Linked DNA regions of Lytechinus pictus. The protein of the gene in region 4 purifies or fractionates together with the protein of the main gene of each other region. This does not show direct contact. Links are inferred from orthologs where the notes say so. Each region holds a gene or a part of one and is shown on either strand. Other genes may lie near its edges. The genes, in order: DNA topoisomerase 3-alpha-like, E3 ubiquitin-protein ligase RFWD3-like, pre-mRNA-processing factor 19-like and replication protein A 14 kDa subunit-like.

What was found.
Region 1: the proteins of replication protein A 14 kDa subunit-like (region 4) and DNA topoisomerase 3-alpha-like purify together in Homo sapiens (affinity purification with mass spectrometry; 3 studies listed by BioGRID and IntAct, with this or other methods). This does not show direct contact. The link is inferred for Lytechinus pictus from reciprocal best matches to the Homo sapiens genes RPA3 and TOP3A.
Region 2: the proteins of replication protein A 14 kDa subunit-like (region 4) and E3 ubiquitin-protein ligase RFWD3-like purify together in Homo sapiens (affinity purification with mass spectrometry; 5 studies listed by BioGRID and IntAct, with this or other methods). This does not show direct contact. The link is inferred for Lytechinus pictus from reciprocal best matches to the Homo sapiens genes RPA3 and RFWD3.
Region 3: the proteins of replication protein A 14 kDa subunit-like (region 4) and pre-mRNA-processing factor 19-like purify together in Homo sapiens (affinity purification with western blotting; 3 studies listed by BioGRID, with this or other methods). This does not show direct contact. The link is inferred for Lytechinus pictus from reciprocal best matches to the Homo sapiens genes RPA3 and PRPF19.

Annotation. Positions count from the first base shown.
Region 1 is NC_087254.1:17,256,267-17,264,034, forward strand, and holds the start of DNA topoisomerase 3-alpha-like, read left to right. Parts: upstream 1-4,761; 5' UTR 4,762-4,858; intron 4,859-6,630; 5' UTR 6,631-7,059; coding exon 7,060-7,209; intron 7,210-7,768. UniProt on the Homo sapiens protein: Releases the supercoiling and torsional tension of DNA introduced during the DNA replication and transcription by transiently cleaving and rejoining one strand of the DNA duplex.
Region 2 is NC_087250.1:13,548,757-13,555,651, reverse strand, and holds the start of E3 ubiquitin-protein ligase RFWD3-like, read left to right. Parts: upstream 1-3,872; 5' UTR 3,873-3,958; intron 3,959-6,251; 5' UTR 6,252-6,272; coding exon 6,273-6,389; intron 6,390-6,895. UniProt on the Homo sapiens protein: E3 ubiquitin-protein ligase required for the repair of DNA interstrand cross-links (ICL) in response to DNA damage. Plays a key role in RPA-mediated DNA damage signaling and repair.
Region 3 is NC_087246.1:31,300,827-31,307,983, forward strand, and holds the start of pre-mRNA-processing factor 19-like, read left to right. Parts: upstream 1-4,146; 5' UTR 4,147-4,221; coding exon 4,222-4,240; intron 4,241-7,157. Other genes in the region: uncharacterized protein CG3556-like, read right to left, coding at 327-420. UniProt on the Homo sapiens protein: Ubiquitin-protein ligase which is a core component of several complexes mainly involved pre-mRNA splicing and DNA repair. Required for pre-mRNA splicing as component of the spliceosome.
Region 4 is NC_087257.1:26,796,172-26,803,874, reverse strand, and holds the start of replication protein A 14 kDa subunit-like, read left to right. Parts: upstream 1-4,699; 5' UTR 4,700-4,803; coding exon 4,804-4,899; intron 4,900-7,703. UniProt on the Homo sapiens protein: As part of the heterotrimeric replication protein A complex (RPA/RP-A), binds and stabilizes single-stranded DNA intermediates that form during DNA replication or upon DNA stress.

The DNA.
Region 1 (7,768 bases), on a different chromosome or scaffold from region 4:
CTTGGCCATAAGGTTAATCAAGTATTACTGAACACCCTGCCTGAGTTTCATGTCACATGACCAAGGTCAAAGGTCATTTAGGGTCAATGAACTTAGACCATGTTGGGGGAATCAACATCAAAATCTTAACCTAAGGTTAAGTTTTTGAAATGTCATCATAACTTAGAAAATATATGGACCTAGTTCATGAAACTTATACATAAGGTTAATCAAGTATCACTGAACATCCTGCATGAGTTTCACATCACATGACCAAGGTCAAAGGTCATTTAGGGTCAATGAACTTTGGCCGAATTGGGGGTATCTGTTGAATTACCATCATAACTTTGAAAGTTTATGGATATGATTCATGAAACTTGAACATAATAGTAATCAAGTATTACTGAACATCCTGTGCAAGTTTCAGGTCACATGATCAAGGTCAAAGGTCATTTAGGGTCAATGAACTTTGGCCAAATTGGGGTATTTGTTGAATTACAGCCATAAATTTGAAAGTGTGTTGGTCTAGTTCATAAAACTTGGACATAATCAGGGGCGGAAATCTCTCCCAAAAGGTAGGGGGGACATAGGGGCGGATCCAGCCTGCGCCAATAGAGGGGGGGGGGGGAATTTGTTTCAGCCATATTTTCCCCGATCGGCAGCACGAAGATGATTTTTGTTTGTTTCTTTGAAGGGGTAGTCCTCATGAGTCACTTCTTAGCTTTATTCTTATAAATTAATATATAATATCATAATCCTTATTTATATGATGCGAGCGCGAAGCGCGAGCTATTTTTTTTGGAAATTTTATGTATTTTTTCCTAAAATTTGAACTGATTCTGGGCAATGTTTGTTATCCTGAAAAAGATGTGTATGCAACTAAATAATTACTACGAACGCAACGCGCGAGCAGAATGAACTGATGGAAAAGATACCTGTTAAAGTAGCATTTGTCAATCAAATAATGCGAGCGCGAAGCGCAAGCTGAATTTTTTTTGACATTTTCACCTAAAGAATGGAAATTCTAAGCACTTTTTGTAATTCAAGCAGAATAGGTATATAAGTAAACAATTAATGCGAGCACGAAGCGCAAGCGGAAAAGTTTGACATTTAGTCCTATAATAGTTTTGTAAATCCTGAAAAGGATGAGTATTAATAATGCGAGTGCAAAGCGCGAGCAGAAAATTTTTATATACGTTTTGAACTGGTACCTGTTGAAAAGGTACCTGTGAAGGACTGCTTGCACTTAGCCATGAAGGCGTTACATATTCCAACAATAAAAAAATGCGAGCGCGAAACGCGAGCTGAAATTTTTTTGAACTTTCTAAAGAAAGAATGGAAAATTTTAATCAGTTTTTGTAATCGTGAACAGGATAACTATATAATTTAACGATTGATGCGAGTGCGAAGCGCGAGCAGAATTTTCTTCGAGATTTAGACCTAAAAATGGGCCACTCTGTTCATGTTTTGTAAATCATCAAAAGTATGAGTAATATGGAGTCTTTCTACATTAATAATGCGAGTACAAAGCGCGAGCAGAAAAAAATTGATATTGTGATCTGAAACTGGATAATGATTTAAATTAGAGAACAAGTTGAGTATCTGAATAAACTTGCGCGAGCGTGTTTCATATTTAGACCTAGAATCTAGGCATTCTAAATACAACTTTAATCATGAAAATCATGAAACTTTGATATTCCGATCTGAAAAAGAGTCAATTTCAGCTTTATATTTGAAGCACTTTGTAGAAAAATTGTAAGGTAGATATGGATCGCACTAAAAAAAGAGCTGATATTATTATTACTTTGAGTTTTGACATAGGACCGGGACATCCTTACGACATGTCATCATATGAAAATGATGACTATCTTCCTATTCCTCTTGCTAAGCGCGAGATGAAAGAAAAGGGACAATTTAATTATTAAATTAATATCATATTTATTAATGCCTAATGAAGGCGCGAAATCTGATGATATCATGGCATAAAAACTGGACATTTCACTTTTTTTTATTATGAATAGGATGCATCAGTTAATATATTTTTAACCATTAATGCGAGCGCAAATCGCGAGCTAAAATTTTTGATAAACTGTCATGAAAGGGGGATTTTAAGCAGTTTGTTGTATAATCAATATTGAAACATTTATATAACTCGCCAATCAAAATGCGAGCGTACAGCGCGCTAGCTGATACGTCTTGACAATCAGACCTGAAAAGGGATATTTTGACAACTTTATGGAATACACGAAAATAATAGGTACCTGATAAATCAAAATTTGCGAGCGCGCAGCGCAAGCAGCAAATGTTAACATTCTGACCATAAAACTGACATTTTTACAGAGCACTTTTTAAAAACCAATTTGTAAATTACACAAATTAATGAAAGTTCGATTTCCGAGGTGAAATATGTTTTGTATGTTGACTTCCAAACTTGATATTCGAACTCCATATTGAACAAGATATGTAAATCACCTAACAGGCAATGCGAGCGCGAAGCGCGAGCGAAAATTTTATATAGTGGCACGAAAGATTATTTTTGTTTTCCAAGTCTTCCCCTCATCTTATGTTATGCACTCGTAGTCCTTCTTTTCTTTTTCTCCTCTCTTTTCCCTCCTTTTTTCCTTCTTTCTTTCCCTTTTTTTTTGCTCCGCCAAGAGGGGGGGGGGGGGGGGGCGGGCCCCTCGGCCCCCTAGATCCGCCTATGGGGACAAGGGGCGGGACAATTTGACAAGCAAAAAAAAGGTTATCATCGCCAAAGTAAGGTCATCTCTTCCCAAAATACATGTTTTATTTTTATTTAGAATAATGTATTTCTTACCATGATAAAAGACCAAAAAATAGTAGGGGGGACATTTGATATTGTGTCCCCCCTAATATTTTGAGTAGGGGGGACACGTCCCCCCTGTCCCCCCTGGGATTTCCGCCCATGGACATAATAGTAATCAAGTATCACTGAACATCCTGTGCGAGTTTCAGGTCACATGATCAAGGTCAAAGGTCATGTAAGGTCAAATAACTTTGGCCACGTTGGGGGTATTTGTTGAATTGCCATCATATATATCTCTATAAGTGTATTGGTCTAGTTCATAAAACGTGGAAATAAGAGTAACCAAGTATCACTGAACATCTTGTGCGAGTTATAGTAGTTTTCAAAATCAGCACTGCTGCTATATTGAATCGCGTGATGCAGGTGAGACGGCCAGAGGCATTCCACTTGTTTATTTTGGTTATTCCATTTTACTTGGGTCATTTCATTTCTTTTACTTTTTATTTTTGTTATACGGGCTATTCCTTTTTAGTTGGGTTTTTCCATTATTTAGATCATTATTTTAGTCCCTTTTATTTGGGTTATTCCATTTTATTTGGGTTATTCCATTTTCCTTTTACTATTTATTTTTGTTATCGGGGCTATTCCATTTTAGTTGGGTTATTCCATTATTTTAAATCATTATTTACGTCGTTTTTACTTGGGTTATTCCATTTTATTTGGGTTATTCCATTTTCTTTTTACTATTTTTTTTTGTTTTCAGGGCTATTCCATTTTAGTTGGGTTATTCCATTATTTAAATCATTATTTTAGTCCTTTTTTATTTGGGTTATTTCATTTACTTGGGTTATACCAATTTCTTCTTACTATTGATTTGTACTTGTCTTTTTACTATTCATTTTTGTTATCTGGGCTATTCCATTTTAGTTGGGTTATTCCATTATTTAATCATTATTTACGTCGTTTTTACTTGGGTTATTCCATTTTATTTGGGTTATTCCATTTTCTTTTTACTATTTATTTTTGTTTTCTGGGCTATTCCATTTTAGTTGGGTTATTCCATTATTTAAATCATTATTTTAGTCCTTTTTTATTTGGGTTATTCCATTATTCTAGTCCTTTCTTATTTTGGTTATTCCATTTTATTTGGGTTATTCAATTTTCTTTTTATTATTTATTTTTGTTATCTGGGCTATTCCATTTTAGTTGGGGTTTTTCATTATATAAATCATTCCATTTTATTTGGGTTGATCTATTTTCTTTACTATTTGTTTTTGTTATCTGGGCTATTCCATTTTAGTTGGGTTATTCCATTATTTAAATCATTTTGGTACTTTTTTATTTAGGTTATTCCATTATTTAAATCATTATTTTAGGCCTTTTTTATTTGGGTTATATTCCATTATTTTAGTCCTTTTTTTTATTTGGGCTATTCCATTGTACTATATCTGACTTCACTTTTGGTTAAACTCATAATTTCTATAAAAATTTAGGTATCATAGTAAAATATTACATTCGTTCATGTACAAATTGATGAAGTTACAGAACTATAGCTCCTGCGCACTTCAGTTTTTTAGCTTAACTTATGAATAATTCATGTACCATAGCACCCCTAGCGTTTCCATGTAGGCCTATACGGAAAAAATAATCGCATCTCGGCCGCCACCCCCACCACAATTAGTAATAATAACAAACATAATAATTATAATAATAGAAAGAACAACAACAATAATAATAATAATAATGAAGATGATAATAATAAGCAATAATTATATATATTTTTAAATCTTTAAAAATATATAGCCACAGGGTGTTGCAAATTGGCACAAAACAACCTTCAGTATATTACCGGTAGTGTAAATTATAATTTACACTAATAATGATTAATATGTAAAATAAGTTAATCAAAAGTGTTCAATATATATAATACAGTTTTTGTATTATTATCTATTTTTTAAATCTACTTTATTTATCAAAAACATCAATAATTTCAGATTAGAGGTATTATTTTGAGTAATCATGAAATAGTAAATGGCGGCTTAATCAAATGGTGAAGACTACGGTACCGAAGACTACACTGCAGCTCTCGCTCGGTCTCATACGGAGATACCGGTAATGTTTGATTGGGTTTTAACACTTTTGCCATCAATTTATCAGTTATTCAAGATGTTATTACAATGGTATTTAAAGAGGATTAGTCTACCTAAGTCACGTCAAGACGTCTCGTAGGCAGCTAAGTTGAATTGAATCCGACCATCGCATCGCGCGTTACTATCTGCGGCGGCCGGCGCCGGTGTACCGGTACCTACGCGTCGAACGTCCGTAGCCGGGCGAGCTAGGCGTGGGCCGTACTCCGGCTCGGCAGCCCGTACACAAAGTGGCGACTTCCCCGGGGCTAGTGTAGTCTGCTGTGCAAACCCTTAATTCACTCGAGAATACGTATGGACTATGGTAGGGTGTCCTAAAGCAACGCCACACTCATCGCGCATGCAGTTTTCAATGGCAAATGAGTCTGTGTGTGGTCACTGTGGAACTGTGACTGCAGTGCTGCAGTGCAGAGCCAGAGACAGAGTCAGAGAGTGACGAACAATTCCTACAACTACAAGTACAGACTACAGGTCAGGTGTATTCATTTTTTTTCAACAGAGCCAGTGCCCAGAGGCTGCAATAAATCTCTAACAAGTTAAATGCAGAGAAAACCAACAACTGTTTGGAATTTCGGAGTTATATTCGCTTTATTTCATAATCATATATCCTCAGATCCTATAATAATGTGAACATATTTTAGAAATTGAAGCACCCCCACAGGAAATACTAATTTTTTGCATGATAAATCGAGTGCGTTGCTTTAGGACCCCGGTTCTACATCAGGCGGCGAAATCAAGTCCGTCCATTAACTTTTCCTTGTAAGTGCAATAACTTAAGTTAGGCTCATATAATTTGGTGTGTATGATGCTAGCATGGTCATGGATCCAAGGAAGCCTATTGATTTTGAGGTCAAAAGGTCAAGATCACAGTGACATACTTTCATCTTACCCTTCTGAAGTCCTTGTAAATGTGATAACTTTAGTTTAACTTAACCTAGGCTCATATAATTTGAATGTGTATGATACTAGCTAGCATAGATCCCAGGAATTCTATTGAGTTTGAGGTCAGAAGGTCAAAGGTGAGGTCGCCACCTTCCACTTTTCTTGCTTGACCAATAACTCAATTTTCCGCGTTGCAGGCGGGCATATTATGTGCTGGCCTTAGCGTTACTCTTGTTGTTCCTACTAGACCTTCAGTGCCAGTGGCCGTTGATGTAATATTGTTATAGTAGGACTTTTCCACACCCCAATGATCTAGGTATCCCATATCCTTTTTGTTCGGCCCTCTCATTCACAGTGGGCCTGTAACAAGGTTGATGAGCTGCTAGTTACTATTTTTGATGTCGGGAAAGATCAAGAAAGAGCACGGCCATGATGAGATGTATGGTGATAACACTCTAGCTATTTGTAAATACCTTGGGAGATAAGAAAAGATAAAAGATGAGAATATTTTCAGAATACAACTTATCTCATTCATGCATAATTATTTTCTTATCTTTTAGCATGCTCGGGTATTAGATCTACATGAGCAAGTATACTTACCACTGGTTGAAAATCCAGAAAAGATAGGGAAAAGAATAACGTGTCCTTCGTAGGAATTGATTGCCATTTGTATTGAATTTATTACCAACATTTTTTTTTTTTTTAAACTTATCAACTATTAACTTGGTTTCATAGTTGGTTATTGAGAATACATGAAGCTCTCCATATAGATGACACTTCTTGACCTGGAAGTTCTGAAGAATGTCCATGGTGTTCCTTTTACCCAATGTCCTTTTCCTCTTACGATATGTGCAGGAATTCTGATGTCTGGACATGTTTGTATGGAATATGCAATGGATTTCTATTTCTCCAAAGTATTTACCTTGATTTACCTTGATGTTGGGCATAAAGTATAGGAGACTTATTTGCCCCTCTGCATCTTCTTAGAACTTGTCCTCAGTTATATGGCAAGATCAAAGTCCTTCCGTCAACAAATCTTGTGCATCCGCAAGCAACTTAGTCTGTTATGGAACCTGTATCGCTTTTAATTTGTCAGGATTCGTGGTACAGTGATCTGTGAAGGCAATACATTTCCAGTATTTTACTTCTACAAATTGCATTGGAATGCATAGAAGACAAATGAAATGATAAATTCCACCACCGAACAGTCCGCGTGAGCTGGGGTACATTGTAGTTGGCAGAATTATTTGGGTTATACCTGGACATTTAAGGATTTCCCATCCAATGTTAATTTGGACGAATTGCTTGAGGATATCTTTGTGCACCTACCTCACTATGGCACGGGGACATGCAACCAAGGTTCTGAATGTAGCTGAGAAGAATGATGCTGCCAAGTCAATTGCTGATGTCATGTCTAGGGGCAGATACAATAGGGTAAGTTTACAAAATCTTCTTTTTTTTTTTTTACTTTTACAACAATTGATGAATCAAATGGATTAGATTTTTTTATTTCCTGATAAGTTTCAATGATTTCAATCTAAGCCAAATATTTATGAATTGCCAATAGCAAAATGTACTTTATCAAAGGTATTTGGCCTAAATTAGTTGCATACATGTAAATGTTATTCTAATGGTAATTATACCATAATGGTAACTTCATCATTAAGGGTAAATTTCATGGAATCCTTAATTCACTGATTGTCTTTTGAGCATTGTTACCATGGAACATATAGTTACCATCAGATGGCTAAACAGAAAACATTGAGAAGTGAAAAAAAAAATTGTTTCGACATTTAAAAATCTGCTTATGAGGAAAATTCTTTTAATGACCAGCCAGAGTTAATTGATGAAATTAACTTCATGAATTGAATTTTTCATCTTTTGTGGATATTTCTATTCAGATGAAATCAATTTTCATGGTATTTTTCATAAATCTGTCAATACATACATACAATAAAAGCACACATTTTTAATTTCTCTTTCACAATGTTCT
Region 2 (6,895 bases), on a different chromosome or scaffold from region 4:
GGTGGTTTTGAAAACCCACGGTTGAGTCCATGGTTTATGTAGATTTCCTGTATAAATTACGCTCAATTTAGCGCGTATCGGGCGCGTGTATAAAAAATGTCCAATTCCGATGCGCGCTTTTGTCACAGTGCGCCAAATTGACGCCTGTTACCATGGTTAGATACGCTATTTTATTCATGAGTCCACTGTTTGAAGAGTGGACTCATGAATAAAAACAGTGGACTCATGAATAAAATAGCGTATCTAACCATGGTAACAGGCGTCAATTTGGCGCACTGTGACAAAAGCGCGCATCGGAATTGGACATTTTTTATACACGCGCCAGATACGCGCTAAATTAAGCGTAATTTATACAGGAAATCTACATAAACCATGGACTCAACCGTGGGTTTTCAAAACCACCTTTGTGAATTCGGGCCGCTAAGTTCTATTTCATCCTGGATATTTTCCCCTCGAGGCCTATCTGTTTCTAAAACTATATTTCAAAGGAATTGTTTCATTCAATTACAATATTGTGTGAAAAGCTTTGCATTTGTTCAGTAATCATATTTGCATCCGTATGATTTCTTTTGTTCTCTTTTTATTTCCTGTAATACATATATGTACGCATATAAGAATAAGTCTACTATACTTTCTTCATTTCCAAGGGGAATCCACACTTTACAAGCTTTGCTTTTTAGTGGATCCCCTCATTTCCATTTATGCTCTATATTATACTGTTTTTTCTGTGTTTTTTTACGAAGTAAGAATGCCCTTCTGTAAAATTGTACTTGATTTGTATTACTTTATATTACTTTGTATTATGTTTTGAATGGAAATGAAATAAAAGAATTGAATTGAATATAGGCCTACATAGGAAATTTTAGAGAGAAAAAAAAACAAAATGAAGGTCGTATCATGCGTATTATACGACGATCGATATTACCATTACGCTCCGTCAGTATTGTATTCCTTGTATCACGATCATATATACTTGTAATATGATTCATAGTAATCATTATGATGTTCGCCCGGGGGGGGGGGGGTGGCAGTCAAATGTATTGCTGTACACCTGCGTGACCAAATTATTTCCAAACACCTCCTAAACGAGTTTTTTTTCTCTGTGTGCAAGTTAACCCCCTAATCAAGTTTTTCGCGGGATTTTATTTTGGCCCCTAGTTATAAAACAAATTGCCGCGTGGACAGAGAGGTGACAAATTTCATGACCGTTTTCCCGTGTCCCGGGAAGACCGTCACGAACACTTTTCAGAAACGAGGAGGAAAAAGACCCGGGGAAAAGCGGGGGAAAAAGCTTGGGGAAAAACATACCCTAAACACGTTTGGCTAGTCTAAAAAAAAACGTAGCTTTGGAAAATACCTTAAATACGTTTGACGCGATTGATTATTGACAAGTCTTTCAAAACCACCTTTAAAAAAAATCGGTGTTTTTGATACCCGTAACGAGTGCACGCATGGCCCACGTCTAAAACTGAAAAAAACCACCCCTAAATGGTTTTTTTTTGTACAGCAATATATTATGCATAATTATGTTCGACCGCAATTTTTTTTTTATGGGGGGATGAGAACACATGCCACCCCCCACCTGAAGCCTTATAGGGGAGTACTAACCCCATGCACTCCTCGATCGTGATCGATACCCATATGGATGCCCGGGGGGGCCACTTACATTGACGAGTGGATACCATGCGCGACCAAAAAAACACGTAAAAAGGATGTCTTTTTCAAGATAGGGTACGTTACGTACGTAACGTGATAAGGGTGTCAAAAACACAAAAATAATGAAAAAAGGGTATCTATTTCGCTAGGAAAGCTACGTGTTTAAGGTCATATTTGGGGGAATGATAAAACAAAATTAAAATGTTTTATAAAGGATGTCCTTTTTGCCCCAACACTACGTGTTTAGAGTCCGATTTGCGCGAGGTGTGGAAGCTGGGGCCGTACTAAACCAAATGGTGTGTAAACTGTAAAGGTAAAACCGACGACCGATGGACTCGTGACATAACAATCAAATATCGCTGTATACTTGTTTAGGGATTCATTTCAGGGAATACTTGCCAAGAGTATCGTTTTGTTTCCAATACTTGTTAAGGGTAGGGTTTCAGACGCCAATACTTGTTAAGGGGTGCATTTTCAGAATTTGGAAAATACGTGTTTAGTGTGCTTTTCGAGACCCCATGGTCGCGCATGGTATCCACTCGTCAATGGAAGTGGCCCCCCCCCCCCGGGTATGGATGAGTCCCTTAATTATGGAAACACCCAAATATGATTAAGATCACCGTGATAATCATCATTACTACAATTATTATTATTATCACTATAATGATGATCATCATCATCCGTATCGTAATATAATATTAATGTATTATGCATGTTTTACTTAAAAAAGATAAAGCTAAGGATCGACTATAAATTGGCTTCTTATGTGGGTTGCTGATAGGGCAGTCAGCTATAGTAGACAATATAATGGTCCATTTATATAGCGCAGCTATTATAATTGCATATACTGATCTTGATTCTTGGTATATTATGACCCCGGCTGTACAGTAGCTGAGCCGCCACGGGCCTATATAGGCGCTAAAGCATTCAAGTTAGGAATAAATCCTACCGGGTACCCATTCACCTCACCTGGGTCGAGTGCAGCACAATGTGCTGGGTAAATTTCTTGCTAAAGGAAAACACGCCACAGGCTGGGATTCGAACCCACTCGTCAGGCCACACATCCTTATAAGTCGAGTGTCGTAACCACTAGAATACGACGCCCACAGTAGGCCTATTGAAGACTTGTGTAATTCATGATTGTGTAACGTAGGCCTACGTGTTGCTGAGGACTTGTACTGGCAGTTGCATATATTTATAATATTTTTTATGCGTATGGAAGAGAAACATAACACAGTGGAGGCAGCAATAATTTTGAAATTTTTTGAAAACTTAAAAAAATATAACTGAATTAAGCTGAATAAGCATCCTACTCAAGCTGTTTTAAAGTAGGCATACCTCAATACAACATTTTCACTCATAAAATTTTACAAATTTTCTCATCCATGCAGTCACTGTTAGCACAAATCTTTCGAGTCATACAACATTCAAAATTTAGCTGGCGCTTCGTGCACGCAGTGGCGGTGCATTGGTTAATAAAATCTGTTTAATTGGATAACAAAGGGGCTAAAAAGGCCAGTGTTTAAGCGCAATATGCACAAATTATTCTTCATGTGATTCAAGTTTTCATTATTTGTTTTAGTGAGATACGCATCCTGCTTACAAAAAAGTGATAAAAATTAAAAAAATATTTTTAAAAAAACTCTCGCGCTACGCCTCGCATCAATAACTATAGTACCCTTCCTATATAAAAAAGTGATTAAAGTTTCATCATCTGCTTTAATCTTCAAAGGGCTCTGCAGCCTATCTCGAAGATGAAACATCAACAAGGAGGCTGCAGTGATCACTTTTTCCTGTCGGTGACTGGTTATATTGATCGACACTTCCTGAATATATGATCAGCATAATGACCTTGTCTAGAATGTTATATGCTCTCTGACTGACCTTCCCGATATATTTATCATCTCACGATATTCAGCTCGCGCTTCACGCTCGCATTACTTATTTGGGGAGATACCTATAATCTCAATCGGTCAGGTCCCTTTTCAAGTCAGTAGGGACTATGATTTTGAAATTTTAACTCGCGCTTCGCGCTCGATTTTGGGAACATCACAGACAAAAAAAAATCATGTCTGCCTTTGTCCCCCCCTAGTTTAAAATCTCGATGCTGCCACTGACATAACATCTTATGGAAGACTGGGGCCCATTTGTAAAATTACAGGATATTTAGTAAATTATAAAATTCCACTGTGAGTTTCGTTTTGAAAAGTGGAAGCACTGCGCGCGCCCTCTATTATCGAGCGCGCGCCTGATTATGAAATCGCATCTTCTCTGCATCATTTCGTGTTAATTTAGGATTACAGTAAGTTAGATTATTACTATTTTTTTATCTTAAAAAGTGAATACATATGTGAATTAGGCACAGTGTGTTTTTGATACGGAAGTATTTTGAAGCTGGTGTTGAAACATAAAACCAATTTGAAATCTTAATTTTGAATGATGGTCTGATTTTGACTTTGTCTCGGCACTCTGTCTCTGCCAGTGCCCTGCTTCGGCTCTGGCCCGTCTGGCACTGACCTCGCCTTTGGCTTCCTCTCCCAGGCCGGGCCGGGGGCAGTGGCGCTAGCTTAGCGAGCGCTATGCTGGCGCTGGTGCCCCATCGCGGAGCGGAGCTGGAGACGTTCGAGAGCTGGCAGCCGTCTGTTTGGAAGAGTCTTCAATAAAAAAAAAATTAAGCCATTGGAGCTGAGTGCAGTGGAACAATCAACTAGTAAGAGAGACCAAACATGCAGAGGGACAGGGGACAAATGCAATGCTCAAAACTAGCAGTACGGCAGTAGCACTGCCTGGCCTGGAAACGAAAAGTTATACTTTGTCTTTGTCCTTGTTTAAGTTAAACAAGAACTTAGTCTTAGAACTAGAAGGAGCCGTGGGAGTCTGAGTATCAAGACTCCAGAGGCATACGCCCATCGTATGGACCACAGTCATCAGTAGAGGCGCACGGCCAATATTGGAGACTATCTCTAATGAGTAATGTGGCAGATTATCTCCAATATCAGAGACTTTTGTAAAGAATTTTGGTAGGCCTATCCAATTTTTAGAGACAGTCTCCAGTTTTGGAGCACTCCTAGTACCAATGAGGTCCAACATTACATGTATGGACCTCATAGGCGACATCAGTAGTATTTTTGGTTAGAAATCTCTGAGAACAGGATATTTATATTATTATATCACAAGTACAAGCTATATTCCTTTCTCTTATTTAAATTATAATTTTATAGTGTAAATGCATCGTTAGCAAAAAAAAAAAAATGAAAGAAATGAAGGGGAACTTACATTTTCACGGCTTTTTCCTGATTTTCTGGGCAGCTGCTCTTCTCTTCTGACTCGCGATCGAAGCTGATATGAAGATCACGTGATTCGCGTTCTCGTCAGCTGATCGGTTGGTTATTCTTTTCGTCAGACGTTAATAATATATATTTTATAATGCTAGCATTCATCGCTAATTTAGGTGAAAGAGATTGAAGTTAAACAGCGCCAGGTCGGAATCATAATTATTTTGGAAGAGTGTATTTATACACTCGATCTCATACCTGACGTAGACGGCGCTATTCAACAAATGCACAATCTTCAATATAAAAAATAAAACAGAAAGAACGCCTTGAACACAGGCCAAAATGCCTAACGATTTCTCCGCGGCATTAACAACTATCGTAAAGGGCGCTCCATTTATCAATAAAGATGGATGCTAAGCTGTCTATGGCGACAAAATTTGCCGCAAATATTTACGAAGAATTGTGAGAAATGGTCTGAAAATGCAACAAAAGAACCGGTGAGTACCGATTAAACATTATTAAAGTTGTAAATAGATTATACATACCTTGTAGATTTAGTTTTTAAGGTGATATTAGTGCTTAGTTCTAAGCTAGGGAGGCCCAAACGCGCGTGAGTGGAGTCCCAGTTTATTAGCACGGGTAAGTATTGGGGTGTCGCCTAGAGTGTTTTGGAGTCCAATTTCCTTTGTTTACATTTGCTGCAAAAGGATTACCTTGGCGGCAAATAAAAATGTGATAAGCAGATTCTTCATGAAAAATTACCCCTTTTCACCGACACCGTCTACTTTAAAAATTCACTGTCTACTTTTGTTTTGATAAGGATTTTTGTTGTCAATCACACACAAAACAAATGGGCTTCTGACCCCAGTGAGACAAAATTTTGGGTGGAAAAAATCATGCTTTTGTTGGTGTTGTTTCTTTTGTCCTTTTGCAAAGCAAGTCTCCAATGTGGGAGATTGTCTCCCCTATTGGAGAGAGTCTCCCATATTGGCCGTGCGCCTCTACTGGTCATGACAGTGCCAGTGGTGATGCAGTCTTAAACTTAATTTAATTATAAAGCTTATCCAATGTTGCAGATTTAATTGGGTAGATCTAGTACAGAGTAGAGCCCATATGGCCATAACCTTGTTCATTGAATGAGTGCTAGAGCCTAACTTCTAAGACTAAGTTAAAGGAAGCCCCCAAAATAATTGTTTTTTTGCAGAGCTCGAAAGACAAAGGGAATTCCCCATCTTAATGTCGTGCAGAACGAACCAAAGACTTTGTTTCTTGTGCATGTGCATCCGTTTAATTTTACATTTGATCTTCTCTTTAATACAGGTTATGATTGATTGATGACCAATGGATCACGGTGATTCTGATGAAGATGATAATGGTTCGACCATCCTCATCGAAAGTGATCAAGATCTATATGATTCAGATGCTACAGAAATATCACAGGATCATGAACACCATCAGGTTTGCATAACATTTTCAATATTGAAAGAAAAAAAAATATACGGAGAGAGTGAATTAAGAGAGAAAGAGAGAGAGAAGGGGGGGACGCAAAAATGGCACTCCTTGCAAAGCAGGGAAAGAATTACACCGGAGCTGGCCAGTAGGTGATGTGGAGTTGCCCTTGAAATGCTTAAAAGAGAAACTAAAAAAAAAAAACCCATTCATCTGATGAAGCTTATCCAATGTTGCAGATTTTGACATGGAATTCAGTGAAATTTGTTCGCTTGCCAAACATCGTAAACTTTACTATCTTCAAAAATATAAATACTGCCATGACGAATTTCGTATCAAATGAAAGAGCGTATTAAGCTCTTTCACATGATTGGGATGCTGTTGGGATTTAAGTATATTTTAAGTGAAATTTCCTTTGAAGAAAAAAAGTAATATTCATGCCAAATGTATTCTATTATTATATTTTCAAACATTGTTTCATAGAAATATATAAATGTCAAATATATGCTTGATAT
Region 3 (7,157 bases), on a different chromosome or scaffold from region 4:
AAAGGAATATGTTAGGTAGTCAATTGTAATATTTGTATATTTCAATAAATTTTGCCTACTTATCAGGATTAATGTTGTTGTTACTGTCATCATTATTCTATTATCATTATTACTATTACTATTATTATTATCATTATTATCATTATTATTATTTTCATCATTATCATTACCTTTATTTTCATGATCATAATCACGATCCTTGTCATTTCTATGAATTTCCTTTTACATCTTTTCAGTCATTTGTTTCACGATTGACCTGCCATTTGATTACCAATATTAAAGTCAAGCAGTGTCTTAGTAGTTCTCAAAAATTGTAATAAGCTTACCACAAATACTGGACACGTCAGGGTTTGGTAGAACCGATACAAAGCATGGTGTGAACAACCCCAAGAACTGCCACAGAAACTTTAACCTGAACATTTTCTGAAAAAAAAAAAATATTGAATTTCAAATTACTCTGATTCCATGAAGATATAGATCCCAGTGATCATCATTATTTTATGATTTTTATCATGTATTCTACCCTTTTAAGCGCATTCTTCCTGGTCAAAGGTCAATATATATCAATCCTGTAGTTTATCCTAGTTTATAAAAGCCACAGGTATGATTCTCATCATAACAGTAATCAGTATTTAATTCTGATTTCCATGAGAAGATACAAATACAATTCATATAAATAAAGAAACAGAAAAGGAAAGCAAAATTAAATATCAAGTTTACATTAAACAAACACAAAGAAAAGGCCAAAAGAAAACTTGTTGAATCAGACATGCCCAACTAATTGATGACATGTTAAATTATGGTTAATATGAAATGATAGGCTAGTTGTGGCAATTAAGAGAATCGGACAAATACATGCTAGTGGTAAATTAGAAGGAATACTATAAGAAAACTGAAAATAATCAATGAATGAAGTAGTCTAATTAAATACAAAAAATATATCACAACAAATTGACACACATTGGTACAGACAATATATAACTTCTTCTTACTAAGTTCTACTAAATTAGAGGATTATGTATTATGCACACTGCATCATTGGTGTAAACGTTTGTTCTTTTATGTGCACAGGGACCGTGTTCATTGTTAGCTGCCATAGCACCTGAAGCTTCATAGCCCAGAGCAACAAATAGACAAGGTTCTTATAATTAAGAATAGAAATGGTCAAACAAGTGAATTGCAACAATCAACTCCCTGGTAAAAAAAAAACAACAACAAAGAACAAGCAAAGTTTAAAAAAAAACATGAAAAAGGACACCTCTACTCAATGAAAAATGCTATAATACTAATACAGGGCCAATGCCATACTTTTGTCTTGACATGGTCAGTGATAATAGGTAGTCACACTCACAGACACAAAAGTTAACTCTTTCTTTCATTGGCTTGCTTTCTACTAATACAATAGTTCTTTCTGCAATTCTGTTCAAAATCACATACCGAATTCCTTTCCTCAAAAGCTGCTGTGATGTGAGAGTCAAGTCCAAATAAGAGTCCAAGAAATTAGCCTCGTCCTCGACAATGTCAATGATGCAAAGCCAAATGTTGTCTTATTCATTCCTGCCTGGCAGCTCAGATGTGTGCAAGGCAGCGACCCCACAACGACTCAGTCTCAGGCAGGCCAGTACCGCGACAGAATTGCAGAAGAATAAGCTGAACAGCTGATATTATCGTGATCAGAGATCATTTGCATACAATACATGCTCCCTTATCCTTATCCTTATCCTGTAGTGGTATACTGATTAGTTCGGGCCACCTCGCCTCCGGCTACATCCACCGCGCGCGGCGTCCGGAGTGTTTGGAAGATGGGGAATTCCCTCGTACTTTCTCTGAAGCGTGACGTCACGGTCTGTCGGGAAAAGGGGGGGGGGGGTGCTCTTAGTTCGTACGTGTGTGGGATGTGCGGTGCGATTATTTTTTTCCTCTCCATTTTCTGTGTCATATTTCTTTACTTCTTTCAGTGAATTGGAAAAATGAATTGATCAATAGAATCGATTTATAAATTTATGAAGTGCCTATAGTATAGGCCTATGTTTTATCGATTTGATTTTGTATTAGCCTTATGAAGTATGATGTAGGCCTATTACTTATGAAGTTATGAAATCTATGCAGTCAGTTTGTTTGTATTGACTTGAAAAAACAATAAAAAATACTTTAAAGAATAAGTGAAATACTGCCCCTGCATGAAATTTCAGTAAAGCTTCATCTTGTGCCCTCAGTGAACTCATCGATTGAAAAATCTTTGGTCTAATAATCTACTGTATGTGTGGTTTTTTTTTTACTATACATTTATGATAATATGCACAGGTTCGTTCAATGTTTAAAATGAAGACGTTTTACAGAAGATTATTGGCGATAGGCAGCCAATGTGATAACAATGTTTAATGAAATAATATTATAAGGGACAGAACTTGGTTATTTCCCACCCATTTTCCGCATTGATGTATCAAACTAAACCGAACTTCTTTGAAATGTACTTTTCTTTTTTAATCTTAAATACTATCCGTCAAGTGATTTTGGTATATTCATTTTTTACTCACCCAAGCATGAATTAGCTAGGTTATTGAACGAGGAGACTTGAGCTTTGTCTCCTGCATTTTTCACTGAATTATCAATATATCTCGCTTACATACTTTTTTGCTGCTGTTTTTTGTGGGAAACTTTGTATGACTACACCTTCACTGGTAATGCTACATATCAACTAGTCCGAAATAGTGATAATTTCCTGTAATATATTCTAACGTCCATTTTGGTCTAATGTCCGAATTTTATCAAACATCAAATTACTCTGTCAATATTTATTTAGTGTCTTAAAATGTAAGTGGGTATCGGGCGTTTTTCAGCCACAATACATTCATGAGTTTGGCTAATGTACATGCAATTTTCAGGTATAGGCCTATGCATGGCTCGTAATTATGATAGGCCTTATTTTCCTATATTATGCCAAAGTACAAATTGAATACTTATTTTCTCTGCTCAAAATTTGTTGCTTTCTTCCGAATTGCTCTAGACAACAGCACTTGTAATAATCATTCTTTCATTATATATCTACTCCAGCCCCACCCCGGGCAAAAATAAATAAATGAATAAATAAATAAATGAGGAAAAAATGAACCTAAAAACATGCAGAAAACAGACAAACTCGATAGAGCCAAATGTCATCTGTCATTTTTGGCAATTTTTTAGTTTTTTTTACAAGTATATATTTCAATATTAAATAAAAACACAAATGTAGCTTGGCAATATCCCCAAAGTTAAAAACGTGACACTTTCTTAATTGTGAAATGTGAATGATATCGTACGAAAAAGAGGAAGCTGTTGTTCTCACAAAAAAATCAAACTGGTTCACCATGCATGTAACGGGCAAGTAAGAAACCGAAATTTAACTTATCCAACGTGTGTAATGAAGCATTTTTTCTCTATTCCTTAAAAAGCTGTGTGCGCTATGAATGCCTAGCTTAGCCGGGTAATGAGCGCCTTCAGCACCTAACAAGGTGATGATGTGCGCAATATAAATACCATATATTATTATTATTATTCTTCACTTCTTCATGCATGCTTCTATTTATTTCTTTTTGTTTTCTTCATCTACTAATGTTGTTGTTATTGATATTTTTCCCTCTCTATAATGAACCGAACGATTTTATTGTTTTTACTTTTTTCCCTCCAATTATCTCTTCTTTTCTGTCTCCTCTTCTCCTTAACTGATTTCTCCATCTTTCTTTCCCTTTTCCCTCTTTTTTATTGCCGCCGCTAATGGGGGGGGGGGGGGGGGGGGGGGCTATTTTGCCCTTGGACCCGTCTATGATTCCTTTATATAGCTACTTCTTTTTCTTTTCATCGTGAAATTCTTATTCTGCAGTGTGCCCCCTTTCATCAGTCCCGTGATCATGTGCCCAAGTGTCTTGTTTTAATTTTAATTTTTTAATTGTTAATTTTAATAATTAATTAATTTTTCAAATAAAAGTTTCTTTTTTCTAGTTTGTTCTAAGTTTTTTTCCTTTCTAGAGGGGCAGCGGACCGAGGGGAGGGGCAGGAGGAAACATAGGGGAAAATGAAACAAGGACAGGAATCGTTATTTATTCACTCCTTCACTCGGATAAATAGCAATGACATTTTCTTTTGATTGTGGTTTTCTCTTTTTTTTTCTATATTTATTATATAGAGTAGACCGCCATCTCGCAATGACATTTAGATAGTGGCTAGGCGCTCACGCTTTGCAACATGGCGTTAGTTTGTTCAAGTAAGCAAGTATTTCATTCAATTATTTCACCGTCATCATGCCAATTCCGTAGATTTTTTCGAGGATTCTTTTGGATTGATTTATTAGATTTGTATGATAATAATGATGTTATACGGTTTGCTTTGAATGGGAAATTGTAGGGAATGCGATGTTTCGGATTCTTGTGGCGTAGTTTTGATTTCGGTCCCATCAATGCTTTTCAGCGTATGGTCGTGTTGATGTTTAGGCGCCAATGCAGTTTCGCACCGGCCGACTTCGTCTTCGAGATAATTTCCCCACCAGTAATTGTTCGAAAATATCATAGCAGCCAGGTCTCTCAATCACATTTCAACTTCAAGATCAATACATCCAGCGCTTTTCCGGTTGGGCGCTAGTGTAGTTTCGCACCTCCCCATTTAATGGTTTTCAAACATGTACAAAACTACAATCTCACCCTAAATTATAAATAATTCACAACCTAAAAATTTGCATCTGAGCCTCCAAAGTCCAGTAGAAGTTGAATATTTGCCGTTTTGACACTTTTTTACAAAGTTTTACACCTATTTCGGAATCACTCGGTCGCTTGATCAAGCTCAGCGCTGCACATAAGCAGTCGGTACGCGTACAGTACGTACCACCTAGTGAAGTGTGTGTGTGTATTTGAGTTTTGTCAGACGTGTATCAATCAGATATGATTATTTACGTCTGGGACCGACCTTTAACGTCACCATCCGAAAGACGTGACCAGGGCTCGAACCTCTGCATCAAATTGTAACTTCCCCGCATAGCTTGGATTACAGGCGCACGCCACAACTTCTTCTTCTTCTTCTTATGTTTGTTTGAGTGGCGATTAGTCATATTTGACTATTGTCGCCATTGACATTATTAATAAAAAATCTCACTTCTCACATAATAATATTATTACCAATATGATGTATACATATATAAAATATTTTTTTTGTATCCTTCTGATATGAAAGAGGATAATTATGATATGTACAAAAGTTTGCAGTAACTCTTGTCAAAATGGCATATAAACAAAACTTCACCAAAAACAAACCGCTATCTTCAGCTCAGTTCCAACTAGTTGCGCTTGCCCTGCCCTTTCAAAGATGCAATCATACCGGTCAGCACGGTACATTGTGCCGATTTTTCGGACATAAATGCCTAGGTCACCCATGCATAGACGAGGGGGCGCTAGTGTACCTGTGCTTACAGATGGGTTAAACATTAAAATCATTTTTTTTTTTTTTTTTTTTTTTAAACAACACCAACAACAACAAGGCGAAAACACTTGTGGGCTTTGTTAGTTATATGTGCAGAACATATCATTTTGTATATATTATATCATACATTATTATGTATATATATATATATATTCTTCTTTTCACATTAGACTTGTACAAGCATATCCATTCATATTTCTTATAGACAATACAATATTAAAATAGTACATCACTCCTTACTAAAACGTTTCGTTCTTGAAACGAAACGTAAAAATGCTTTCTGTATCCCTGGGTCATCTTTTTTTAAATACTCCATTATTTGTCCTGGCTGTGATTCATTCAATTCTACAAGGAGCATTGATCTTTCAATTATATATTTTGGACAATGTAAAAGATAATGTCTGACAGTTTCTAGCTCAGGACATCTATCACAAAACCCTGTTGGATGGATCCCTAATCTTAGTAGATCTTGGTTAAGACCAGCGACTCCAAAACGGAGACGATGGAGTACAGTTTCCTGTCTTCCTAGATTACATTTATATGTGGATAGCACTGATGGTTGCAATTCTTTCAGTGCTGAGTTAGTTTTATTCCATCTTTCTTGCCAAATTATCTTACAACTTTTTGAAATAAGTTGCATAATTTCTGATAATGTTATTTGATTATGAATTTCTATTTTGTTTGATAAAGCTTTTTTTGCGCAGGAGTCTGCTATTTCATTTCCTTTTATTCCACAGTGACCAGGGATCCACTCCAGGTATACCTCTATACCTTTATATTTGAGTCTTGTACTAATAGTTAGAATTTCTGTAATGATAGGATCGTCTTTCCGATTCTGTAAAGATAAAAGTGCACTTAATGAATCACTGAAAATAACAACACCTGTATATATATCTAAATATTCTATCCATTCCAGTGCGAGAACAATCGCAATTAATTCAGCCCTATAGGAGGACGTGAAATTCGATAGTCTTTTGCCTTGGTAACAGGAAAAATAAGGTACATAAAAAGCAGCTGAGCAACGCCCAGTTGTGCAAGAAGAGCGAGTTTTTCTATGGTATCTTCAAAAAGATTTTTTCCCCTCTTTCAGCTTGCACCAAGTATTACGGTAGTGGTTGTGCAGAGTGGTTGATGTTTGTTGTGTGAAGGTATGTGTGTGGGGTGTGCGTGTGTGTGATTTTTTGAATGAAATGTGAAAAATGTGAATACACGTAGATTTAGCGATGAAATAAGAAATAATAATGTAGAGCCTTGTTTTGAACTCTAGGTCAGCTCAGAGAACTTTCCTTCAGTTTACACTCTGCACAACCACTACCGTAATACTTGGTGCAAGCTGAAAGAGGGGGAAAAAATCTTTTTGAAGATACCATAGAAAAACTCGCTTTGGATTGATGGATTACTGTACAAACTCACTCAATGTGGTATAGGAGGAAATATGTTACATTTTTTAGAAAATTATCTAACAGAACGTACCTTTCAGGTAAGAGTTACAAATACTGAATCCAGAACATTCCAAGTCCATAGCGGACTCCCCCAGGGGAGTGTTCTGAGTCCCCTTTTATATAATGTCATGATGAGAGATATTCCAATTGATCCTGAAGTGACAATATCCATATATGCTGATGATTGTGCAGTATGGTTTTCTGGAAAAAATGTAGAGAATATTAGATTAAGGATACAAACTTATCTAGATGTATTATGTACCTGGCTTA
Region 4 (7,703 bases):
GCCGCGGGCGAGACAAAAAACGGGGGCCTTGGAGCGGGCGAATTGTAAAAAGGAGGGTCCTCGGAACGGGCTTCGGAACTACAAATGTTTGTGAAAACGGGGGTCCTTGGAACGGGTCGCCTGCGTGCGAGTGCGTATGCATCCCTATGGAACGTGCATGCAGCTAGCCCGGCGGCACGACTGACGGGCGCGCTAGCGCAGAGGCGATGGTCGGACAGCGAGCTGCGGCCGCTTTTCACCAAAATTGCGACCGGAACGGCGTACCGGAAAATATGCGAAGCCCTGGAGCGGATTTGTTTTCTTCTTTTTTCTCGAGAAGAAGAAAATGCTATGCTTTGGAGCGGCTTTCTTTGTTCTTTTTCTCAATAAGACAAAAATGCTATGCCTCGGAACGGAAATTTGAGTGTAAAAATGGGGGTCCCCTCCGCGGCACATACCCACTATGCATTATATACTGAGTGCCCCCCCCCCCCCCCCCCCCCCCCGGGCCTGTAACCTTTCCACCATCGGCTCAAGAACGTGAAAATATAAGTATTAGTTAATAATCACAATTAAGGCTGTGAGTAAAGAATATTAGGCAACTTTCAATTTTGCCTTTAAAATCATATCTTTATGATATGATTGAAATGCATACTTTCTTTTCACTTGCCAAGATTGTCAACATTGAAAGTCTTTAGCCCGTTGCAGAAAGAGATTCAATCAAAAGTCTTTAGCCTGTTGCAGAAAGAGATTTAGTCAAATGCAACTCTAAAAAATCACACACAACTTGGTCTTCATCCATTTAAATGCATGTATGAGGAACTGGTGCTTGATCTTTTTTTATTTGTGTTCAAACCTTTTTTGTGCAACAGGGCCCCAACCTGATGGAGCAATACCTTCATACTTGCTGTAATGTACTGGTTCAATAACATATATTTCATACATGCTAAATGTTCTGACAACCTGAGGGTTGGTAAGAAGCCAGCCTAATATAGCAGCAAGTACTTTATGCAAACTGTATTCTTGATACAGTTTGTGAGTAGTTCTGATGGTTGGATAATTCATCACAAGTCTAGAAAGGAAAAGTTCATATTCCGTCAACTATGTAAGCTTAGTAAAAACCTGTGTTATTGTATTTTTTTTTTGTCGCATGAAAAAAGGTTTAGGATTCGAAATCATTCCTTTGTTTAAAAGTACAAAGAGTGTTGCTTCTTTCAAACCGAAGTAGAAATATGTTCCCTTACAAAATATTTTGGGGCAAAGAAATTCGAAAATTCCCTTTGAAGGGCTCATTTTGGCTGATTTTCCTACTCTTCAATCATCCCTAAGTGGTATTCATAATAATGAGAAGCAGACATGCCTGCTGAAGCAGTGATCACACATTGCTGAATCAAATGGTGGCTGGGCTTTTCCAGAGACTGTTAACTCCATACTCTGATCCTAATCCTCTGAAATAAAGTTAGAAAACCTCTTCTTTTCACTAAAAGTGATCATGAGTTGATAGTGAAGTTTATTCTGTACTTCATAAGATTTGTGTGTGTGTGGATGGAAGATACCTCTTTTGTGGTAAATGCATTTAATGTTTAAAAAAAAAATCATGATGATAGTTAGAAAATGTGTTTGATACAATCATACATTTTCTTGGTTGAAATCTGATCAATTTTTACATATAAACAGAACATGCATTATTATTTTTGTTTTTGCCTTCATAAGGTCTTGAGATATTTTTGGCATATACCGGTAGGTACTATGTTCAGTATAGTCACACTATGATATAGGCTCTGTCCTTTTTTCTAATGTGCAAGAAAATATTTGTTCATGTTTTCTTATGTCAAATGCTTCTAAGTAGTAATTTCATTTATTAGTGATTAAATGTTTGTATTTCATTCTGTAGATCATATGATACAGATAAGTATGAAGTATATTTAGCTACTCAGACTTTTTTCAGTCTATAAATTCTCCAATCATAAAGATATTTAGTAAGTGTGTAAGCTGAATGGTCCTATCTGCTGTCCATGTAGGCATATGGGCTATTCCACGGTTACTCACGTTACATTTGGAGACACCTTGACTCATACTGGGAGCTGTAACTCCATTATTATTGATAGGAACTAAACATCTCTTTATCACAACATAGTACGCAGTCTGTCTATCTTTTGTATAAAAACAAAACTTGGGAAATTTCATTATGCTCCTGGCAAATCTTTGAAATGTGTCGGTTACTCATGTTACATGATTTGGACATGCATAAAATGAAAAGTGGACATAAGTGAAAAGTGTCCTCATGCAAGGCTTTTATGACAGTTGATTATATCCATTTCAAAGAAGTATATTAGGGAGACAAATTTGTATATAATTAAAAAAATAAAGAACACATGGTTTTTACAAGGGCTGCAGATAAAGTGGTTACTCACGTTACGGTTCAGATGGGCTATATGTACAAAGACACATTGAGCTCATGTCCACCAACCTATAGAATTGCCCATATGTGATATGAAAATGAATGCCTGACATTAGGCACTCCAAAAATAAAAATATGTTAGCAACGTGAAAGTCAGATCTGCCCCCCCCCCCCTTGAATGTTACATTTTCTTAGCAAGTTCCAGTCTGTTACATTATGCAATAGCAAACATTCCCATTGGACTCGATGCAAGTACTATCATGATTGTATTCAATGGGTTATAGTATGTTTGTATTCTGTTATTATCTTAATATCAGCATTATTTGTTTTATATTCCTAACAATGTTTATCCATCTGAACAAAATACACAGTCCAAACTGAAAGTGAACTCTAAGCAATCATTGTATGTGTGTATAAGATTTGATACACTATTTTTCAATATTATCCTTATATCTATTACTACTGGATTTGAATTATCCCTTTACACAGTATTACCATTTAAGTGTACTAGTCTTCGGATTAACAACTATTTGTTATCAAACATACATATATGCAGTGGGGCTTATAAAATTCCCGAGGAGTTATTAAAATAGCTTGTAGAATCTGATGTGATATTACTTTTAGTCAACACTTTATATATGAAGCAGTCCTGAAACGGTTGTTGACAATGAGTCTCCTCTTTGCAGATGGTAGTTGGAATAACTAGTATCTGACACTCCTGCATAGCAGTCTTCTTTATTCTATTGCCTTATTTTGTCTTTATTTTGTAGTGTCTTCTGGTAAAAGTTTAATTGATGCATTTGCTTTGATCCAAATTAGATTATAAATAGAAGTCTACCTTATTGTACTTCAAATAAATGTACAATTTTGGAATAACAAACGTGCTGTATTGTCTCTTTTTGTTTTTATTATCAGACAAAACTCATTTTAGTGAACTTTTGGCTATAGTGTATTTATGATAAAATTTCAGCTATGAAAATGTGTCAATTTTCATCACAGTTTGTTTGATTCTAGCTAGTGAAAGGCAAAACAAAACTAATATTCTTTGATTTTCCCCATCTGAAATTATAATGAAATTTAAATTAAAAATAAAAACAATCTGCCAGGGTCTGTAATACTTGGCCAAGATAGTATCCTGGGTTTGCTTTCACGTTTGAAAACATTTAGAGATCTCTCGTCTTATATCACCTACAAACATTTGAATCACTATTAGATGGGAACGAGGGTCAATTAGTCCTAATACCCCATAATGCAGGCAAAAGCAACTTTTTGGTGAGCACTCTTGCTTCAAATTCTCTGAAATTCTTTGAAATTCTAAAAAAAAAATGTTAGTGGAAAATCGGATGAGTTTCAAGGTTGAATGACTATTAAATTGACTTGCGTCAATAAACATTTTGCTTCTAAATCTGGGAATGAACAAAATATTGTATTTTGTAGAATGAAAAAGATATATTGAAGGTTTTTCTACCTAATACCATGGAGCTACTATCTGAATAATAAATCCATGATTATACTTATTATTTGGCCTATTAAAGCAGGAAATTGAAGGGTCCACAAAGGTTTACATAAGTTTTGAAATGATATGCAGGGCCATTCAAAAAAATCTAGAATTGATGCATTCAAATTAATTCAGATAGATGTATTGGACATGCCACAACTTTTCAATCTCCAGGTTTCCTAAGGCCTGGCTAAAAATACTTTATTTAAGTTTTAGTTCTTGTGTGACAGGGAGTCCGCTTGAAGGAATATTGGCCTTTGCTTTGACCCCCCCCCCCCCATTTTTTTTTAAATAGGCGCATTTTCCTCCTTTTGGTTTGATGATTCATTTCTCGTCCTTTCTAGGTGTAAAAGAGAAAGTGTACTTACAACTTGATCTATTAGACCCAATATTAGATTAACTTTATATAATGGCATAAATAGGGGCTAAATCAATACAGACCATTTAGTATATCATAGCCTTAATTTTTACCCCCCCCCCCATTCCATTTATATTAAATTCAGCCTGGGTTTGAATACATGTAATTCTCGATAAAACATAGTTATTAACAATTTAAGCTTAGGCCTATAATATAACCCTGTGGTTTCAGTCGTGCTATTCGATCATGGCACAGAACATCTTTTTCTGACAACAAGAAAAGTCAACCTAGAACGGAGGCAAGATGACATGGTACTATTTGTTTATGCATTTCCTTGGTTTAAGTAGGACAGAAATATATGAAGTTGAAAAGAAAGAAAGAAAAGAACATACATATATGCACCCCCCCCCCCCCCCCCTCCCTTCTTGCGGTCTCGGCCCATTTAGCGAACTTCGGCGGCGGCCGGAAGTGAGTTTGCGCGCGTAATTCATCCACATCGAATTGCGATTAACAAAAAGAAGCAAAACCGACCTTGGCTTACGTGAAGAAACAATTTTTCTTACCAAAATGGATGCTTTCAACCAACCTAAACCAAGAGTTAATGGATCCATGCTTCCAAGGCACCAAGGGAGCATCGTTTGTCTTCTGGGCCAATTGAAAAATGTAAGTTATGTCACTTGTTTTAACGTACTTTTGTAATGAACTTGTAGATATTACACAGAAATTAATGCTCGGGACTAAAGATTAACAATAACAGGGCCAGGGTGACCAGATTACACAAAATGAAATAGATAACGGGACAATCGACAAATTATGATGCACGAGCGGATTGAACGAGCCATGTCTTAATTAAACATTTATAACAACAAAGAAGGCTACACAATGTATACTAAAATTTATAAAGAAAAGGAAGGGAGGTAGGGTGAACAAATTGAAGGAGAAAGAGGAAAGGGATGAATTGAGAGGAAAACAATAAAAAATGGAGGGGAAGATAAAGGAAAAAAGTCAAAAAGAAAATTAAAATTAAAGAAGGATGAAAGAAAGAATAAAATAAAAGGGTTTCTGTCATTGAATCTTTGAAATAAATAGATAAAGGAAGAAAGGAAGGGAAGATGAATGAATGTGTTAAAGAAGAAATAAAGGAGAAAGGAAAAAAAGTAAGAAAAAAGGATGAAGAATTAATGAAAGAAAGATAAATGTTTCCTTCGTTCTTTAAAAGAAAGAAGAAAAACAGGAAGGGAAAGAAAGAATAAATTAAAGGAAAAGAATTAGAAAGAAATAAAGATGATGTAGAATGAAAGAAAGGATGAAAATGGAAGAAAGAATGAAGGGAGCAGAGAATTAAAAAAAAAAGAGAAAATGATGGAAGGAGAGAAAGAACAGGAAAGAAAGAAAGATGGAACAAAAAAGGGCAAGCAGGAAGGATAGAAGGATGAAGAAAGAAGGATAGGCAAGAAAGAAAAATGAAAGAAAGAGGAAAAAAGTTCAAACTTCAAGCAAACAAAAAAATCCAATCTATGATCTAACAAAAATCTTAATGATATTTTTTTTGGGGGGGTTGAATATATGTTAACAATTGTTAACAAACTAAAATGTTTTAGAAATGCAGGGCTCCACACTAACACTTTTTTTCTACTGGTCCAACCTATTCATGTCGGACCAGTAGATACCCAGTTTTTCCATTTTTTACTGGTCCGAACCTAAAATCTACTGGTCCCCAAAATAAAGAAAACATTAAAAAAAGGCGTGAATTTATTTTGCTGTCCTTTCTTGTTACCCCCCCCAAAAAAAAAAAATGAAGGAATGAAAGACAAAAAGAAAGCAAGACAAAAAGAAACAAAGGAAGAAATAATAAAAGAAAGGAAGGAAGAACAAATAAAAGGTAAAGAAAGGATAGATGTGAAGGAAGGAAAAAAGAAAGAAAGAAAGAAAGAACAAAAGAAAAAAAAGGAAAGAAAGAAAAAACAAAAGACAGAAAGTAATGAAAAAAGGAAAGAAGCAATAAAATAAGAAAGAAAGGGTATAAGGAAAGATGGAAAAAAGATAGAAAGAAAGAAAGAAAAGGGTAAAGAAAGGATAAATGTGGAGGAAGGAAAAAAAGAAAGAACTGAAGAAATAAAGGAATGAAGGAAAGAAATGAAGCAAGCAATATAGAAAGAAAGAACAAAAGACAGAAAGAAGGAAAGAAGCAATAAAAAAAGAAAGAAAGGGTAAAAGGAGAGATGGAAAGAAGGAAAAAAGAAAGAAAGTATTGAAAGAAGGAAGAAATAAAGAAAGGTAAAATGATAGATAGAAGGAAAAAAGAATGAAGGAAAGAAGGAAGGAAGCAAGCAAGCAATAGAAAAAAGAAAGAAAATGTAAAATAGATGAAAGTAAGAAAAAAAAGAAAGACCGAAAGACAAAGAAAGGAAGGAATGAGGGAATAAAAGAACGAAGGAAGAAAGGAAAGGAAGCAAGCAGTAAAAAAAAAAAAAAGGTAAAAGGATAGATGGAATGAAGGGAAAAAAGAAAGAACAGAAAGGAAGGAATGAATGAAAGAAAGAGAGAAAGGGCTGAAAGAAGGAAGAAATAAAAAACAAGAAATGGTAAAGAAAGGATGGATGGAATGAAGAAAGAAACAAAGAATGAAGGAAAGAAAGAATAAAAAGAAGGAAAGGAAGAAAGAAAGAAGAGATAAATATAGGATGGATGGACTCAAGAATTAAAGAAAGAAAGAAATCAAAAAAGAAAGAGAAAAAGAAATAGAGAAAAATGTTAAAAGGACAGAAAGAATGAAAGAACGAAAGACAAAGAATAATTAAAAAAGAAAGACAGTAACAAAAAAAATTAAAGAAGAGAGGGAAGAAACAAAGAAAGATTGAAAAGAAAGAAGGAAAGAAAGATAGAAAGAAAACAGAGGAAGAAAGCTAAAACTATCATAAATAAATTATCAGTTTCTTTTTGGCTCAATTAAGATATAGCTACGAAAGAAACCAAGTGTATCAACACACACAAATGCATATGTGGGGCTATCATGTATTCAGACGATATCACTCGAAACCCGATCTCTTTGAACTAAAACAGAAGTGAAAATTTCTCCTTTTACTGCTTACAAATGACAGTTACCCCAATTTTTAGGAAATATGGACATTATAAGAGCTTTTCATTAGTGTGAAATGTGAATTTTGACCGTTCTGTGAGAGATTTCTGCCAGAGGTTTGCCAAGCTTTGCCAAGCTTCGTTCGTGCAGCCAGTAGAAAATTCACCATGTGGGCTGTGTGGCTGGCTAGCCATATGTACACTGTATGTTACCCTAGTAAAAATTGCATGCGATTCATTCTGTGTGTATTCTGTGTGTGAATGACCAAATTTAACGGGAGGAAAATGGTTTGCAATTTGAGTCATGGAATATTTTTTATGTTCATGTTGGACGAGTGAATTTGACCATTTCTGGAAAAGTTACTGGCCCAACAATGGTTTTTATTACT